2 linked regions of the Macaca mulatta genome follow. The protein of the gene in region 1 interacts with the protein of each later gene in a biochemical or structural test. Links are inferred from orthologs where the notes say so. Each region holds a gene or a part of one and is shown on either strand. Other genes may lie near its edges. The genes, in order: FLT1 and PGF.

Region 1 (9,343 bases):
ACTGTCCCTACCTTGCTTCAGAATGATTATGGTTACAGGGGCGCCAGCACCACTTGATTGTAGGTCGAGGGATACCGTATGCGGTACAAGTCAGGATTTGTCTGCTGCCCAGTGGGTAGAGAGCTGGGTCTGGAAATGATGACACGGCCTTTTCATAAATCTGGGGTTTCACTGGAAAGGAGATGAAGAACGGGACAGAAGTCAAGAGCTGTTCTAATGACTTTCTCCTGGGCCACACATGAAGGACCACATTCTCACTGGTTTGGATGTCAGGGAAACAAACAAGAAACAAAAAAGAAGTAAACTGTCCTATTTGTCAAGAAAATGCAGATTTTTAAAAATAGTAGCAGTGTTTTGAGAATATTAATAATTTGATTCCATGGTATGTACATTGTGATTACAATGATAAAAGATCATGCTGCCTATGGAATACAACAAACAAACACGAGATTGTTGAAGATGGGAACTTAACGTTAAGTGTTTTTTCAAATGATTATTTGAAATTTTGTTATCTTTGATGTTGTTATGCTGATTTTTGAATTCATAAGTGTTCACTAATTTGTTTCCTACCAGAACCAGAAGAAAGCCTGAGCAGCAAACTTACCATTGACAATTAGAGTGGCAGTGAGGTTTTTGAACACATTTGACTGTTTTATGCTCAGCAAGATTGTATAATTCCCTGCATCCTCTTCAGTTACATCCTTGATAATTAACGAATAGCCCCGAGTCAAATAGCGAGCAGATTTCTCGGTCGCAGGTAACCCATCTTTTAACCTGTGGTTAAAAGCATAATCAGTAAGTCATTTCACATGGCCTCGCAATATCACTTTGGTAACACTGTCATTTAAGTTTTTGAGCTCAATTTGACCAGTTCTTTCTTTCTTTCTTTCTTTCTTTTTTTTTGAGACAGAGTCTCACTCTGTCGCCTAGGCTGGAGTGCAGTGGCGCAATTGCGGCTCACTGCAGCCTCTGCCTCCAGGGTTCAAGCGATTCTCTGCCTCAGCCTCCTGAGTAGCTAGGATTGCAGGCATCTGCCACCACGCCCAGCTAATTTTTGTATTTTTAGTAGAGATGGGGTTTCACCATGTTGGCCAGGCTGGTCTTGAACTCTTGACCTTGTGATCCACCCGCCTCAGCCTCCCAAAGTGCTGGGATTACAGGCGTGAGCCACTACACCCGGCCTCAAGTTGACCAGTTTCAAATCTTTGATCATCAGTGTTGATTTTTAAAATGTAGCCATTAACTTTTCAGTAAAGGCAGATATGCTTTTTAGACTGGGTAACACTTCATGTTTACTGGCAAGGAGGAAGAAATAAAGCAAGTGAAGATAGAAAAACAGTAGCTTAGTGTGCCCACAGGGATACCGGTGGCCACTGGGACTTAAGGATTAACCCAGAGGCAGGGGCTCTGATTCCATCCGAGATGTTTTTCAGAGTTTTCCACGAGGCTCCATCAGCAGTATAAGGGCCATTGTAAGTCAGATCAACTAGATCACTTCTCCAGATAAAAATACAAATAGACTTTCCTATTGTGGTCTCAGGTGGAGTTCTTATTAGTTTTATAAATGGTCACACCAGTTGTCCCTTTCATAAACTAGAGTGAAATCAAGATTATCAAGATTTCTCCTCTGAGGAAGAACAGTTAAGGTGCAAAACAAACAGAAAGCATAAACTTAAAAAAATTTTAACATAAAATTTTAATATAAAAACATATTAAATACTGAATCGATGCATTGATATCATTCTATTGCACACGGAACTGACAGTCAGAGCCTGGATGCTTGACCTGGCTCTTCTACTCACTGCAGGCTGCTGCACATATGACTAACCAGCTTGGGCTCCAATTTTCTCAAATTTTCTAGAGTTTCTCAAAGGTTCCTTATAACTCTAAAATTCTATGATTTCATTAAAATGCACAGTTCTTTAAATAGGCAGTTTTAATCCATTAGGAGTTTCTTATGTTCTGTATAAAGGTTTAATATTGGGAACTTAGTTCATTATCATGCATGATTATAAAGTCCTACAAACAAATTCCCATTACTAGTGTGTCTCAGATCCAAAGTAATTAAAATGAGGATGCTATACTTTGTGATTACAAATATTGTCTTGGTATTACTTTAAATTATTTCCTATCAACAAGTCAGCATTTTTGACGGTGGACTGAATTTTTTTAATGCCCTTGTGACTTAGTTACTGAAGAAATCAACACTAACAGATGAGCATGCTCTCAGACCCCGGCGGAGTGAATGTACCTCCTGGAGTCATTAAATTACTATTCAATTTACTATTAAACCTAAAAATTTACTACTAAATGTTTTTGATATTCTGAAGCAAAAAAGATCATTTTTCTACTGCAATGGCATGACGACATAGCACAAAGTTAAAATTTTCTCTTTAATTCCCTATTAAGTATTTAAGGGAACTGCAAACAAACACACTACCCTCATACGACATTGAAAGCCAAATCAGCTCTGGTTAGGGGGATTCTAAAATGGCACCACACCCCTATTGTATGGATTGTTTTGCTAATCAGTTTTGCACCATACCCTTTGTTTAAAAGGTAATGATTTGAGCCAAAGGTATTGGCATTTAACAGTAATTTTGTAAAATGATTGCAGATCATAAACAGATTACATTGTTTTACATCAGGTGTTGTACTAGTGTTTTAAAAAACTGCTGAAGGAGGTTTTGAATATATATCCTTCTAGCCAAAAAAACCTTAATTAGTTCAAGAAGGCCCATTCGTCCTCATCTTCAAATGAGTAAGTCTTGTCTCTATTAATGTTTGTTTAATTTTAAAACAAGACTGGAACTTTCAACCCAGCTGTACATAAAAGAATTATTTTCATCATTCTCATTACAGGAGTCCACTTCTTCAGGGTTAATAGAGCATGTTACATATTCAAAATGCTTCCTAGTCATTGTTCAGCACATCCCATTCAAAGAATGCTGACATCATAGGAAGGTTTAGAGATGCAGAAGGTTAACCACAGTAAGAGACTGACTAGACTGAAGTGAGCACTCGAACAAACCTCATCTCTTGCTTACCTTGCTACATTATTTCCTTTCCCCCAGCCCTTCTCACCTCCACCACCCAAGAATCTACAGAGTTCTGAGCTCTCTGGGGCTGTCTGAGGAACGTCTCTTGGTATTTTGTCAGGAATTGGAGTCATTAGGCTCTTGCAGCTTCCCACTTACAAAGCACGTCTTACACTGTTATGGAAATAAGTATGGTCCTACCATACAACTTCCGGCGAGGGAAACGCCTTCACTTTCATAGACAGCCGGTAAGACCGCTTGCCAGCTACAGTTTCGAGCACCTGCTGTTTTCGATGTTTCACAGTGATGAAGGCTTTATCTTTGAAAGGAGAAGTGATAAATACATTAGAAAAGAATATATTTCCATAAGCAAAACCTTAGGGCCTCATGAAGGGAGGGTGTAATCAATGAGTAAATAAACAGAGCTGAATTATGATAGAGCCTATCAATGAGCCTAAATATTGATCAAGAATAGGATACTTTAAAAGCACCGTAACTGGTGCACGCCTTTCAAATCAAATGGTATCACGTCCTAGCAACATAAAACAGTGGCAGAGCAACAGAAAGTAAAACACCTTAAATATCTCTATCACAATAACAAGGAAGTGGGAAGATATTTCTAAAAATCTGCGTGGCCGCTGTGAGAAAATGTTGCTCTGGGCACCCTAAATCAACTAATTTGATATCAAAAATCAACTGGAGAAAGACAAAAGGAAATAAAAGGCTACTGATAGAATTGTTCCACAGTTTCTGTCCTCCACACTGTTTCCTTTTCAGCAATGGAAATAAGGCTTTTAAGCATTTTCTTTATAGAATTTGCATACTGAAATTAAGCAACAACATTAGGATTCCATGAGAGTAAAAGCAGGGATAAAATAGCTTTAATTCTAAATGATTTAGCATACTATATTTTTATTTCTCTAATTCATGGTAGTACCTGAGAAATTTTTCTGAAGTAGTAAAGATAAAATTCATCATCTTTTTCTGTTTTGTTTATATAGGACACTAAAAATTTCATAAATATATTAGGTTCTAACTGAATTATTAGCTATAATAAACATCTAAAGAAAGGACTCTCTGTTCAATTCAAAAGTATTAAATTTAAAGAGTACTTAATGTGGTTTGCTTTTTGACAGGGGGAGGAGGGAACTATGGCCAAGTCGTATTCATTCATGATAATGTAACTCTTGGCCAACAGAAAACTGACTTATTTAGAGAACACAGACATCTACAATGATTAGAAAGCATAGCATGAGTTGGCAACGCTGAACTATGCTTACCATATATATGCACTGAGGTGTTAACGTATTTGAATGATGGTCCACTCCTTACACGACAAGTATAAAGTCCTTTGTCTTTGTTCTGCACTTTGTCAATAGTAAGAACACTGTAGAATATGTTGGCATGGGAATTGCTTTGGTCAATTCGTCGCCTTACAGAAGCTCTCTTATTTTTCTAGAAAGAAAACGTATAACAAATGTAGAAGGAGTGAGTGTTCATGCTTAAAGTTATATAGGATTTTAACATTTCTTAGATCATAACTTCGACAATAGCTTCTGTTTTATGCTAAGAATCACGTCACATCCACCTAGAGCACAATGTTTGGAAACTGTATCTGTGTCTAGAGATGCTTCAAATATGTAGCCTAGTAGGATTTATTTAGCACTTAATTTTCTTCAAATGCATTTTCACATATACCATCTCAATTGTTTGTCTCAACAACCTAGTGAGATTGGCAGGCTGACTGCCCTTTTACTGATGAAAAAACTGAAGGAAGGGACCCCCTGGCCCAAGTTGGCCAGGAACTCAGGTCTTTTGAGCATAAATCTAGTGTCCTTCCTCTGGCACACACACCTCTCTACACAGTAACCTGTTCTGTAGGCATACATATCACACACAAACATGACAATCATAAGCCTTAGTGTCTGGCTTAATGACAGTGCTTCTCTCACCAAATCACTGTCTGAGTTTCCTTTTTTGTCTCTATTAGATATGAAGGAAAAGATAATGAGTCTTGTCTCTACTTACTAAGGTGGAATAATCCTATAATTTCATTATTTCACTATTTGAGCAATGCTTGCCCATGTTGGCTAAATCATAGTAAACGGATCTGGGGACATGCAAAGCCATCAGCAGGTTTAACCAAGACTTGAAAGGTGCTGTCCCAGGTTTGTCTCAGATAAGAACAAGAATCAGTCTTAGGCTCCACAATCTGACCTGGCCACAATGACAGTCCTCCTCACTGTTTTGAGAAGACAAGATCACATTGCCTTCTCCTTTTTTTTTTTTAAGTGCTGTATTTTATAACTAATAAGTTATTTCCACCTCTCAGTCCTTCCGCATAGTCATAGGGGCAGAGGGGAGGAGCATGGAAAAATGTCTTTGGGAGCTGTCCAGAACTGATCTTTGGATCGGGAGCTTAGTTCTGCTCTGTGCCACGTTTAATACACTCCTACCCACCTGTCCATTTACTTCCCTGTTGGAACAGACAGACACATTTTGAGGCCATTTTCTTCATTCTCAGCAATAACCAGAGAGAAAAGTCAATTGCCACTATCAAAAGTCAGAGAACTAGTCCCTTAACATAACAGACTGAGGGAGGTTTCTGCAGCTCTATTTATACAGGTACTACTCCCTTTGCCAAGTTGAGTAACACTGGTATTGCTTCTGACTTGGGAAATAACTCATCCTGTGTTTTAGAGTTGCTTCGCCCAGTACTGCAGCCACCAGCCACCAGCCACGTGTGGCTATTAAAATTAAATGAAATCAAAAATTCATTTCCTCAGTCACACTAGTCACATTTCATCTGCCATATGTGGCTAGTGGCACAAGTACAGGATATTTCCATCACAGAAAGTTCTGTTGGACAGTGCTGTTTTAGAAGATTATTAGCATTTAATAGATGTATTATAGATACTCTTACTTACAGTAGCAATGCTAGCAGGATAGAAGTTTCTTCCCTCTTGGCACTTATTGAGAATATTTGATTTCTATTAAAACCCAGAAAATATTGCTACAAGCCATAGCATTTTTATTTAAATGAAACAATACCACTCCTAGAAAACAGCTGATGACAGATAAGGCCTTAATGTGCCCCTACAGGGCACTCGTTACACGTTTTTGTTGCTAAGTTATTCCATTTCCATGGCAAGAAATGTCGATGAAAAACAACACTAGCTTGGGGCTCATGCATTAATCTTTCATACATAATTTAATCATAAATTGACTTTGTAATTGGGCAATCTGAACGACATAACAAATGATTGTACTTGAGATATGCCGCATAAATCATGCTGATACACAAGAAATGGGGGCCAGAACTACTGTCAAAATTTCCGTAACAGTTTATCATAGTTTCCCCATGTATACATTTCTAAAACAATTATTGTTTGCAAGGATGTTCGATTTGAATAAGGGAACCCAACTCAGGCTTCATTCTTCTCATTTTTCTGAAGGACAGAATTGCTCCCCTGACACTTAACAAATGGAATATTGGATGACTGGGTTGTAATATCTTTTCCAAACATGTTCCAATCAGGTGCCTGACTGTCTGCCAGTATCCTAAATGAATGCGCTGACAGAGACAGCCTCCTGGAAAGTTGTTGTTGTTGTTACAAAAGGCAGTCCCTGCCTGGCATTTAGTGATACATTTCTCTCTCATCTCTAAATCCTACAGAATAGTTTCCAGGAATGAAACAATCCCTTTCTTTCCACCTAGAATCATGCAATAGAAATACCAGTCTATGCTCTTCAAAACAAAACTCCCAGACATCAAAAGACGGTATCTCTGCATATCACACTCATGAAATGCCAGGCAAAGAAAGCACTCGAACCAAACCCAAAGCTGCTTTATTGACTAACACTGCCACAGGAATCAGGATTTTCTGATTTTTCCCATCTCAAAAACCCTGCGGGATTTCACTTGCTAAAAATACTGTCCTGCAGAAGAAATAGAAAAATGGGTCACTCACTTCATCAGGGTAACTCCAGGTCATTTGAACTCTCGTGTTCAAGGGAGTGGTAGCAGTACAATTGAGGATAAGAGTATGGCCTCTAAGTAATTTGACTGGGCGTGGTGTGCTTATTTGGACATCTATGATTGTATTGGCTGCAAGCATAAAAGAGAAATTTTTTTAAATTAAGATTTCATTACGCAGATAAAAATAAAGAGCACTTCGGCTTATGTTCATGCCTCTGAAGCATCACTTACTTTGTCGATGTGTGAGATAGTTTGTCTTATACAAATGTCCATTGACTGTGGCTTCACAGGTCAGAAGCCCTATTTCTTTGTACGTTGCATTTGATATGATGAAGCCCTTTCTACTGTCCCAGATTACACGTTTTCCATCAGGGATCAAAGTGTCAAGTGGAAACTGAAAAGGAAGAGGCACGCATTAACAAGGTCCTATTAGCACTGGTTGGCAATACTGTTTCACCAGCAGTTGGTGAAAACATGATTTTTCATCTAAAATGAAAATAGTAAAACTCTGTAGTTTGCTTATAACAAACTAGGTTAAAAACTCTAGTTTGTTATCATTGGTTCTTGAGTTTTTTTGTATATAGCAAAAGACACTTGCATTATGATTAATTATAGTAATTATGATAATTTACTATCAGCCTTGGCAACAAATGGCACCTACCCAGGATAGACCTAGTTGTCATATCAGACTTTCAGGGGGAGCCCATAACTCTTTGGCCTCCAGGAATCTTCATAATAAACTGGTCGGACACTCAGCAGACAAACCAATTAACAGGCCGGGCGTGGTGGCTCACACCTGTAATTCCAGTACTTTGGGAGGCCGAGGTGGGTGGATCACCTGAGGTCAGCAGAGACCAGCCTGGCCAACGTGGTGAAACCCTGTCTCTACTAGAAATACAAAAATTAGCTGGGCATGGTGGCAGGTGCCTGTAATCCCAGCCACTCGGGAGGCTGAGGCAGGAGAATCGCTTGAACCCGGGAGGCGGAGGTTGCAGTGAGCTGAGATCACACCACTGCACTCCAGCCTGGGCGATAGAACGAGACTCCATCTCAAAAAAGAGAGAGAAGCCAATTGCATTTTTTTCTACTGGGGCTGCCAGATTATTCTCATTTGTTTTCATCGTCCAGAGCTTTTAACAAGTCATAGCTTTTCCTCCCATTTTGCATGGTTTACTGAAGAAGTGGCTGTCTTCAAAAGACTGTAAATAATTCCAGGTCCTCCAAGATTCATAACATTAACTTGGCACTCACTGGGATTGTCATTCTGAGGATCCTGCTGTGTCACAAGGAAGGTGTCAGCTCTGCCTCTGGAAGGGAAACTCCCAGAAGCTGGAGCTGCTGATGGTGAAGGCAGCCTTGGAGGCCAGAGACTGCCATGAATGAAGTGCTCTCAAATGCTTAGAAGTATTCCCAAGCACAGTGAGTCCAGACAGAAGAAAATAATCCATGATTTGACTTTCTCCTTATGCCTTCTTCTGATATCAAGAACGTAACGTTTAAAGACTACCAGATAAACACTCTGCCGTGGGATTGAACTTTATTTGTAAAGGGTCACTGCTCCATCAAGTGGCCCAGCCAAATTCCCCTGATGCCAGGTTGCCAGTCCAATTTCAGTGGTAGTCGATTCCCAACTACCACTATTCCTTATTCCCAGTTGAAAAAGGAAAAACAAAAATCAAATTACCTTCCCCCAACAGATTATAAAGGAAATACCAAACAGCCATAAAGAAGCTTGAAACCTTTCCTATCGCCTTTTAAAAAGTACACCCGACGTCCCTCTCTCTATCCAGTTGTCATTTATTTCTATTGCTCGCCGAAGGAGCTGATCTGGATTTGTGATCCTATGGCAGAAATTTCTAGTCCAGAAGCCACTAGTACCTCTCTTCTAGGGGCTGTGCCTACATTGGAATGTATTACCGGTGTTCCTTGGTTTGAAATTAATTACATCCTGTTTATGAAGAACTGAAAGCAATTAACGGATTCGTTTCATGTTTCACTATATCAAGGTGCTACCTGTAAACTTAGGAATGTATTCGGTGGGAAAACAAAAACAAAAACAAAAAAAAACCTTCTCTTCTAATTTAGTGCAGACAAAGGAAAACCCAGAAAAATTTAAGTCAGGGACTGACATCTATGTTACTTTACAAATAAGTGAAAACAAGTATGTGCTGAATCTAAAAGAAAGGTTTGCTGACAGGCTTCCTCAGTACAACTTAAAAATACACTAAAATTTCCTTTAAAGTGTTTATCTTACTCTCATCTATCCATTACGGCTGCTAGTAGCATTCCATTGACAAAGTAACTTTACATTTAGCTGAGAAGATCT
Region 2 (9,343 bases), on another chromosome or scaffold:
GGAGACATGGGCCAGCATGGTAGCCGTCAGCTTTGGGGCCAGGACATGCTACCCTCGGCTGATTCCTCCCTTGGGAGCCTCGGCAAGGTACCAGGGCCTCTTGGGACTGTCTGGTTGTACCTCTCCATATTGGGCAAGTGAGAGACACTCTTGGAACCTCAGTCTCTTCATCTGCCTGCCCCAAAAGAGGGGCTGTCAGGGTAAAGGGGATGTAGAAGGTGACTCTGGGTCACCAGCTAGCATTGCACCCAGGAGGGTTCATTACCGAGCTATTATATGGATAAGCTCTGGCTTGGAGGGACGGGTGGAAACAAGTTGAGGCAGGGCCTCCAACACTCCAACAAAAGGGGCAGCGATAGCCCTGCCCAGGAGGCTAGGCTAAGCCTAGGGGCTACTAGAAAAGTGGTCACGGCCATGAGAGGTAGCATGAAGGCTTAGGATTTAGGTCAGGGCTCAGAATCCCTCCTCCCACACTCACTAGCTGTGATAAATCATGAAACTGTATTGAGCCTTGATTTTCTCATCTATAAAACGGGGATGACAATAGGATCTACCTCCCAGGGTTGTTATGAGAGCAGGGACCTTGCCCACCACTGCATCCCATCTAGGACAATGCCCGGCATGCAGTAGGTGCTCAATAAATGTATGTGACTAAATGAGAAACAATCAAGTGCCTCCTGCAGGGCTAGGCACAAAATGGGTACACAACAAGTGGTAGTCTTCCCTCCTCCTGCCCCTGGCTAGGGCTCTGGACTTCTAGTCTGGTGCCTTCATCCATGGCCCAGTGGTACCAGGAGCAACAGCTCAGCCCATTTTTCTCTTCCCTGAACCTCGTTGGCAGTGCCAGGCCTGTTGCTCCTGCTAACCAATGTTCCAAGTGCCCCCGGCACAGGCAGCAAGACTGGTGCTGGTCAGAGGCTCTGCGGATTGGGAGGGGCCGTAGCGGGGTGCTGTATCATCAGGGAAGCCACAGTGTCACCCTTCTTCTGTCCCCTTTCTCCTACCCGAGCTTGTCCTTCTTGCTGCTTCTCAGCCCGGTTTGCCCCCTCCTGTGGGCATGCAGCTTGGCCCAGAACTAAGTTCAGACTTGCAATGTCTTCGCCTCCAGGGACCTCTTTCAGAGGCCCGTGGCAGCTGCCTCCCGTCCCAGAGAAGGGGAACGACACGCACCAAACCCCAGCGAGGCTGGGAGGGACCCACGCTCTCTCTTCCCTTGCAGTATGTCAACAGCTGTACCCCAGCTGCTGGGACCAGCTCCCTCGGCAAAACTGGCTGGTCGGGGGACAAAATGAATGGCAGCCACCCCTGCCTGGTCCTGCCCTCTTGGTCTCCCTCAGCCTGGAAAAAGGTACAGCCGGCGGCGGGGATGGGGCAGCCTTTGCCTCTGCCCTGGGACCCATCTTTGCTGAGGGTGCCAAGAGCACGGGGGCCTTTCCCTGCTACCCGCCCCACCCCGGAGACCTACCGGCACTCGCAACGCACGTGCTGAGAGAACGTCAGCTCCACGTAGGAGGGCCGGTCCCCAGAGCGGATCTTTAGGAGCTGAAGGAAGAAAGAGTTGATGCCTGGATTGGGGAGTGGTCCATGAGTTTCCCGTACTCTTCTCTCTCTCCTTGTAAGGAGAACCCGATTCTGTTTCCTGTAGCCTGTGGACTACAGGCCCTCACTCCACTCTCAGCGTGAGGCAAATGGCTCTCTCAGCTGCGTGGGGACCTGAGGGAGGCCGCTGTCCCTCCTTACCCAGGGGGCACTAGCACAGCAATAGTGCATGAAGGGGGCCATGTTCTGGAGTCAGAGACCCGTGTTCAGATCTTGACTCTTTTACCTGCTGAACAAGTGAAATAACATCTCTGAACCTCGAGTTCCCCATCTGTGAAATGGGAATGACACCAGCCTTGAAGGACTGAATGATGTACCACTTGTGGCACGCCTAGGACAGTGCTTGGCATTACTAAGTGCTCAATAAACCACTGCGTGTGTGACACGTAAGCTGCACTTGCTTGAAAAGGCACCAAATGCTCCTGGTGTCAACAGGGACTTTAATACAAGCAGATTTCTTTCCAGCTTTAACTAGACACCCTGAGTCTTGGGATAGGGCTCAGCATGAGGCTGAGAAAACTGGTGGGGGTGGAGGTGAGTGGGCTCAGAGCCATCGGGGGGCTCAGGAAGGAAGGGCCCTGGGCTGGGGTAGTAGAAGCACCGGCCTGGGAATCAGGCTGCAGTCCTGGGACCTGGGCCTATCTTCTTCCCTCTCCAGGTCCCTTCTAGTGGGCAGATTCGGTGGCCCCCTGGGCCGGGTGTGGACCTACCTGCATGGTGACATTGACCGTCTCCACCGGCACACAGTGCAGGTTCTCATCGCCACAGCAGCCGGTGCAGCGCAGCAGGGAGACACACGATGGGCTGAACATGTGCTCCACCTCGCTGGGGTACTCGGACACGATGTCCACCAGCCTCTCCAGCGCCCGGCAGTAGCTGCGGCCCCACACTTCCTGGAAGGGCACCACTGCGAGGAGGCAAGGGGGCTGGGTCAGGCCAGCAGAGACCTGCCCCTCGAAGCCCTAAACCTGGCTCCCAAGGCCCCGCTGGTCTTCCAGGTTCAGCCCCCAGCCCCTTCCGAGCTCCCTCAACTCTCAATTCCTAATGTGATCCCTCCGAAATGCCTGTGGGCCCCTTAGCTCATCTGCTGGATGGAAATCCCCGTGGAACAGAATCTCTCAGGGCCCCAAGCTTTGCTCTGTCCTCAACTCAGGCACCCACATCTGCCTTGGCTCCCTGGAGCTTTGCGGATTGTAGCCTCCGCAGCTGCCCAGGCCCTCTGGATCTTTCTCAAGCCCGACCGGTGCTTCCTCCACCTCGGAGAACTTGCAGAAAACAGTCATTTCTGGAGTCACGCAGGGAGGGTTGGCCTTCCCTTACTCCTCTGCTCAAACACCTTCCACGGCTCCCTCATTTCCTGCTCCACTCTGTGCCAGCTCCTCTGCCTGGCAACCAAGACCACATCCAGCAATGTGGCCCGACCCTCCTCTCCATTGAGTCCAACCAGCACTCACAGTGAGTCACGGCAGCACCGCATTCACTCGCAGCTCTGGGCTTGTGCACTCTGCAGCCCCTACAGCTGCTCTTCTTCCCCCTCCTCTCATTTCTATCCAAATAAATAAAGCCCACTCGCCATTTTCCAAGGCCTGCCTCCCCACCTCCTCTTTGAAGCCTTCCCCAGCAATTCTGGTGTGCACAGATGAGCCTCCCTTGAGCACGGCCTGGCCCCAAGGGGTTGTCTTATCTCTGTCACTGGTGGCTCTTATCTCCTTTACAACCAACCCGAGGCTCTATGAGGGCAGAGATGGATGTACCCGTAAACACAGGCTAAGTCATTCCTGGTTGATTAGATGATAGTTCACCGAGGATCGTCCGGGACATCCCTGACCCCCATGATGTCCTGGTGATCGTGATGGGATCTTTTGAGGGCTGATCTGGAATCCCTCAAAAGATGCCGCTCTTTTGGGTGAAGGCCTGGAACCAGGCCCCAAATAGAGGCTCACAGAGAGTGGCCAGAGTCAGACACCTGGCTTCCAGTCCCAGCCCCACACTGGCTGTGTGACCTTGGGGAGATCAGTTAACCTTTCTGGGTAGATCAGTTTCCTCAGGTGGGAAAAAAGAAGGTTGGGAATAAATGGTTGCTAAGGTCTTTCCCTTTCTGACCAACCACCTGTGAATCAGTGCCTGCAACCCAGCCCAGCCCGGAGACCATGGACAGAGAAATGCCCCCGGGTCTGGGTCATCCTGCTCTGCATCTGATGGTCATCATCAGCTAGTTGGAAAGAATCAGGAGCTGGCTCACCGGGGCCCTGCAGCCTCTGCCATGGAATAATGGCCTCTCCCAGCAACCCCTCATTTCTTCCAGGCCTCTGCCTAGGAGGCAGAAGGGGCCAAAGTCCATTCCACTGAGCCTATGAGGACATGCGCCTCCTGGTAATCTCAGAAGAAAAATAAACTTCAGTCCTAGCAGAGGCCCTCGGGAAAGGCTGCAAACTGGTGGAAAATACCCAGAGGCGGTGTGTCCATGTGGAGCTGGCTAGGCAGTCATAGAGGCAATAAACAGTGTTATCTGCTTGTTTGCTGCTCCACTCTACCCTGCTCTGCTTAGAGGGCACTAGGGCTGGGCTAGGGGCTGGCGGTGGGGGGAATCCATAGGCCTCCCCTGACTCTACCACTCCATGCCCCTGGTACTGCCCCGGAACCCAGTGGGAAACAAGGCCTCTCTCCCCAAAGGTGCCCACAGTGCAGGGAAGCCTGCCTTTGCAGTCCAGGGTCAGAGAGCACCTCCCTATCACCAGCTCCTTGAGCTGTGTGTTTAGTTTAAAATCTTCATGAGCACTACGTGACTCTGAACGTTTAATCTCCACCTTTATGGAAAACATAAATAACAGCAGAGGAATAACGAACTGCCAAAACAACACGGAAGATTCAGGTTCCTGCCTTGGAACCAGTCATCAGCGAGGGGACAGCAGCAGAGAAGGGGCACCCCAGCCCCCTCCCATCCTGCAAACAGACGCCTACCCAGCTGGGCTGCGGGGCCATGGCCACCTTTGGCAGAACTGGCTGGGCCTGGGCAGCGGCAGAAGGGATTTCCTTTCCTCACCCCACATCCCACCATGCAGACTCCGGGTCCCTGAAACCCTGGAATCTGCCAATTTCCTGGCCCCGTGGCCGAACCATGTTGCGGGAGGGCTGAGAAGGAGGTGGGCTGGAGCCTGGTTTACCTGGCAGCCACCAGGAAAGAGGGCAATTCATCCCTGAAGGCCCCCGTATGGGCGTGTGGGAGAAACAAAAGGGGCTGGGTGAGGGGCCAGGCTGAGGGAGTGTGCAGTGACCACTCCCAGATGTGGGCCATGTCCCTCAGGAAAGAGCTCTGCTCAGCTGTCCCTGAGAGCACTTCCGCTGGCCCCAGACCTGCTCCGGGAGGGGGTGGGGGTGAGAGCAACGGGAAGCTGTGGCCCCCTCAGGCACTGCCAGAGCTGGGTGGTCCCCAGGGCTGCTCCTGAGGCCATGAGTGGGCCCTCAGCTCTCTCGCCAGCCCTGAGAGTGAGCCTCCCACCTGCCTGCCACCACCTGGGATGGGGGAGACTCCAGAAGAGAAATGCTTAATCCTGAGAGCAAGTTTCTGTGGAGGGCACTGGGGACGAGCCACAGGGCTGGGCAGAGCCACTGGCCACCAGCCCAAGCCCACAGGTGTCCTCTCCATGGTCACTGGCAGAGCACACAGACAGCCTGCCACAAGGGACACCCTGCTCATGCCTGATCAGCCACGGAGCTATTGGGAGCACTCGGTTCTGCCAGATCCATGAGGAGTGCCTGAGGCTTGGGGCGACCCCCAGGGCCTCTCTGAGCCTCAGGTCCTGCATCTGTAAAAATGGAGTACATCGCCTTCCTACTTCACAGCCTGTGGTCAAAACAGAATGACAGAAAATGCCTAACACTGTTCCTGTGAATAGTAATAGTAAAAATCAACGCCCATGGCTGGCCATGCTGCCTCTTGCTCTGGTGTTAATAGGTGGGATGACATTTTCAGATTTGGAGAGCTGGAGTGCAAAGCTCATTGTACTTCTCCTGGTCAGATTGCACACTCCCTGATTGATAAGTGTGACAGGAGAGCTGACCTAACGAACCTACACTTCCAGGCCTCCTCACCTCGAATCCTGGGTGATATGTACACCCATTTCTCCTCCCTGGAGTTAGAGAACAGGTCCCTTTTTCAATCTCGGAAAAAGAAGAAACCATAGACATCACATAGCCTAAGGCTCCCATTTTACAGATGAGGAAACTGAGGCTAAGGCATCTTTGGTAGCTGTGGCCTGACCTACACTAAAAGCACCAAAAAGGGGATAGTGTGGAGGTAGGGGATGGGTCCTTCCCCAAATCCCAAGGAGCATAATGTTGTGCTGGTTCCAGAGGCACAGCAAGGGAGGCATCCATGAAGTCAAGGGCAGCTGCCTCCTCTACCTGCTCAGGGGTCTAGGGCCTGAGCCTCAGGTGTCAGAGTATGACCAGGCCCGGGAGAGGCGGGCTGCCAGGCAGGCAAGGCCAGCAGAGGGTGTTCCCAGCATGCAGATGGCTATCACGCGTGTGCGTGTGCATGTTCCTACATGCCCCCTCTCCCATGGCGCAGGGGAAGCCTCAGCGGTGGCGTGTGGCCGCTCTGCACGTCTTGGAGAGGCAGGGAGGGAGGAGCGAGGTAGGGGGCCTGGCATCCTGCACGTATGTCTCTTTGGCAAACGTCTCGTTGCCCTTTGAAGATTCCCTCTTGAGGCAACCAGGGTGGGGAGTAGAGGGGCCAGGGAGGGCACAATTCATGTTCTGTCTGTTTATAATCAATGGAAAGGCATGGTCAGATCCAGGCAGTTCCACTAGGGCTGGGCTGCTGGGGAGGGCCCCTCACCCATTCCTGATCCTCTTGACTGCACACTGCATCCAGCTCCCAGACCCCCATTCTGGCCCCTGGCACTCACTCCCCACTCTGTCCTCCAAGACCCCATCCATACGCTTAAATCATGCTGGGGAAGGGCTCTGAGCCAGCTCAATGAACCCTGGCTATACTGGCCCCAGTCCCACTCTCTGTGTGCTGATGACCCCAGCCCACACCTCTCTAGTCTCTGGGTCACCATGAGGGGATCTCTTAGGCCCTGCCAAAGTCATCAGCTAGGATATCTAGCTCATAGGCTCTCCCCAACTTTTATCAACCTGTACCCACACTTTATGCCACGCCTGGGCTTGGGAGAAAGGAAGAGAGGGGCTTGGGGATCATGCAAACCCCCAGCCTGGCCAGCTTACCTTCCACCTCTGACGAGCCGTTCCCAGGAGACAAGGCCCACTGCTGTGGACAGAAAGGTACAGAGATGAGCCTGGGACACCTTGGGGCTCTGCACTCTTGGGCCAAGTGTGATGGCAGGAAGGTAGGGGCCCCTCTGGATTCCTTCCCACTTGCTGCACAGGCTCTGCCCTGTCTCAGAGCAGCCTGAGCACAACTAAAAACTCACCGGACCCTAGATAGGTTAGGTCCCACCCCTCTCTGGCCTCAGTTTTCCTCATTTGGAAAAGGATGGGAGGCTAGAAGCTCTTGGAGACCCTTGGCCTGCTGCGTCCCAAAGATCTTCCAATCCTGTGGGTCTCCCTTCTACCCAGCCCCCCCAGTTCAACCCTGCCGGGCCCTGTACAGCCCGCCTTGGCTGGGTGCCAGAGCCCAGGGGGAGGTGATCAGCTGGTGGGAGCGGAGGGGTTGGAGCGGGTGGCGCCATGAGCTGGTGCAGCCGGTAACGTTACACCTCTGGCCAGCCCTGCAGCAGGCAGGCGGGTGGCTGGGCTGCTCGGGCTCCTCAGGGACTGCCCAGCCCACTCCTACTCTTGGGCTGGGGCTGGGGACTCCCAGGGCAGTGGGACAACACAGTGGGAAGGGAGCTCATTGGCTTTGTCAGGATTTCACTGCCCAAGCTGGCTCCCAGCCAGACTCACCCGGCTCCTGGGAAAAGGGCCCTGCTCACTTCCCCAGGCCCTGCACTCAGGACCTCCGGCCACCCACCCAGGAGAAAAGGCACAGCGAGACCCCTTGTCTCATCCCCAGCCCACCCAGGAGCCCACGGCTCAGTCCTGAGCCCTGGTGGGGGCAGGGCCCAGCCTTCCCACCATCATCCTCTTCAGCTGGCTCCTCCACCACCCCCACCAGGCCAGGTCAGAGGTCCTGGGGACGCCTGGTTGGCCATGGGGCCTCGACCCTGACCACAAGGCCAGGGACCCGCCTGGGATTAGTGGACAGATGCTTTTAGCAAAGCCACCAGGGCTCCAGAGGCCAGACAGGAAACCTCCCTCCCTCCCTCCCTGTGGCTTCCCTGCCCCCACTAAGACAGCCCCCAGGACCTGGGGGACAGCCAGCCTGAGGTCTCTTCCCAAACGAAAGAAGTCCAGCCTGGCCTTTAGGAAGTATGTGGACATCCTTGGATTTGCTGCTCCCTGGAGCGAGTCTGTGATTTCAGAGTCCCCTGCTTCCAGTGCTGGGATAGGGAGGTCAGGGGAGCCGGGCTAGGTGGGGGTAGCTCTTACCTGGGGGGGCACAGCAGGCAGCGCCAGCCCAGCCAGGAGCTGCAGGAAGCAAGGGAACAGCCTCATGGCCGGCATCTTCTCAGACGTCCCGAGCCAGGGGGCTCCGAAGGAAAACCACCATGCTCATCCCCCGGGGAGCCCCTGGCACAGGAGCAGAAGAGCTGAGTGGGCGGCTGGACGCCCCCCTCACTGCTGCCCCGAGGCCCCGGCCGGTGGTTCGAGCATCTTCTGGAAGCCGTGGGGAGTCAGGAGCCCGCAGGTAAGGCTATGGCTGGGGAGCCCGACCGGGAGCGGTCCGGCGGGGCGGGGCGCCGAGGGGCAGGCGGGTCCCAGGGAGGGTCCGTCGGGCGCCCAGTGCCACCCCAGGTCCTCCCGCAGCTGGGCGGCCGTCCGAAGATGCAGTTTCTTCCGCAGACAGCAGCTCCCTTCTGGGACTGCAGCCGGCCCGCGCCTGGGTTTCAGGGGCTGAGCTGGGGCGGGGCTCCGGGCCTGCCCCGCCCACAGCAGAAGAGGTTCCCGAGCCGAGTTCCCGCAGCGCCCGGCCAGCCCGCAGCGCCGGAGCCCGCAGTGCTTGCGAGGGGCGCTCGGCAAATGCGCACGCCTCGACGAGCCCAGCCCGCAGCTCCCCGGGCCACGCCGCGCCCGCCCGCAGAGCCCACAGCCCCGCTTCGGCTCTCGGGGCCGTCACCTGGGATGGGACCATCCAGGTGTGGAGCCCAGCGTCAGCCGTCAAGGCTTATGTCCTAGCGGCCTCTGCAGGAAGGGCCGTCCCGGATCCCTGGGAAGGCAGCCATGCCCACACACCTCGGGGGCCAAGGGATTCCTAGCCCCGTTTTATAGATGAAGAAACCGAGGCTCCGAGAGCACCCCTGCCTGCGTATGTCGAATGGACATAGGCATTCTTGGAAAGTGTGTGTGTGTGTGTGTGTTGTGTGTGTGCGCGCATCTGTGTGTCCGAGAAACTGGCAGAGACAAAACCCAAGCCCTACGTGACTCCAGAACCGTCTCTCACCCGACCCATCATCCTCCTAGCCAGGCATGGACACAGTGGGCGGCCCACAGGAAACCCCTCAGGGCACCTGACTGGAGGATCAGGCCTGCTGCCTCCTTGGGAAACAGTCTTCTCAGACCCTCCCTGTGGCCTCACCCAGGCATCTCCTCCTGGTCCCTGGTCGAGGAGGAACTGTTCGCTGCGCGGGGGTCCGCGTGTATCTGCACATGTGCACGGGCATTTGCGGGTCTGTGAATA

What was found.
Region 2: the proteins of FLT1 (region 1) and PGF are reported together in a solved structure, tested with the Homo sapiens proteins (2 studies listed by BioGRID and IntAct, with this or other methods). The link is inferred for Macaca mulatta from reciprocal best matches to the Homo sapiens genes FLT1 and PGF.

What each region holds. Positions count from the first base shown.
Region 1 is NC_133422.1:8,415,392-8,424,734, forward strand, and holds part of FLT1 (vascular endothelial growth factor receptor 1), read right to left. Parts: intron 7,412-9,343; coding exon 7,249-7,411; intron 7,147-7,248; coding exon 7,010-7,146; intron 4,494-7,009; coding exon 4,319-4,493; intron 3,358-4,318; coding exon 3,240-3,357; intron 775-3,239; coding exon 605-774; intron 172-604; coding exon 12-171; intron 1-11. UniProt on the Homo sapiens protein: Tyrosine-protein kinase that acts as a cell-surface receptor for VEGFA, VEGFB and PGF, and plays an essential role in the development of embryonic vasculature, the regulation of angiogenesis, cell survival, cell migration, macrophage function, chemotaxis, and cancer cell invasion.
Region 2 is NC_133412.1:148,145,105-148,154,447, forward strand, and holds the start of PGF (placenta growth factor), read right to left. Parts: upstream 8,580-9,343; 5' UTR 8,170-8,579; coding exon 8,095-8,169; intron 6,875-8,094; coding exon 6,832-6,874; intron 2,507-6,831; coding exon 2,310-2,506; intron 1,543-2,309; coding exon 1,466-1,542; intron 1-1,465. UniProt on the Homo sapiens protein: Growth factor active in angiogenesis and endothelial cell growth, stimulating their proliferation and migration. It binds to the receptor FLT1/VEGFR-1. Isoform PlGF-2 binds NRP1/neuropilin-1 and NRP2/neuropilin-2 in a heparin-dependent manner.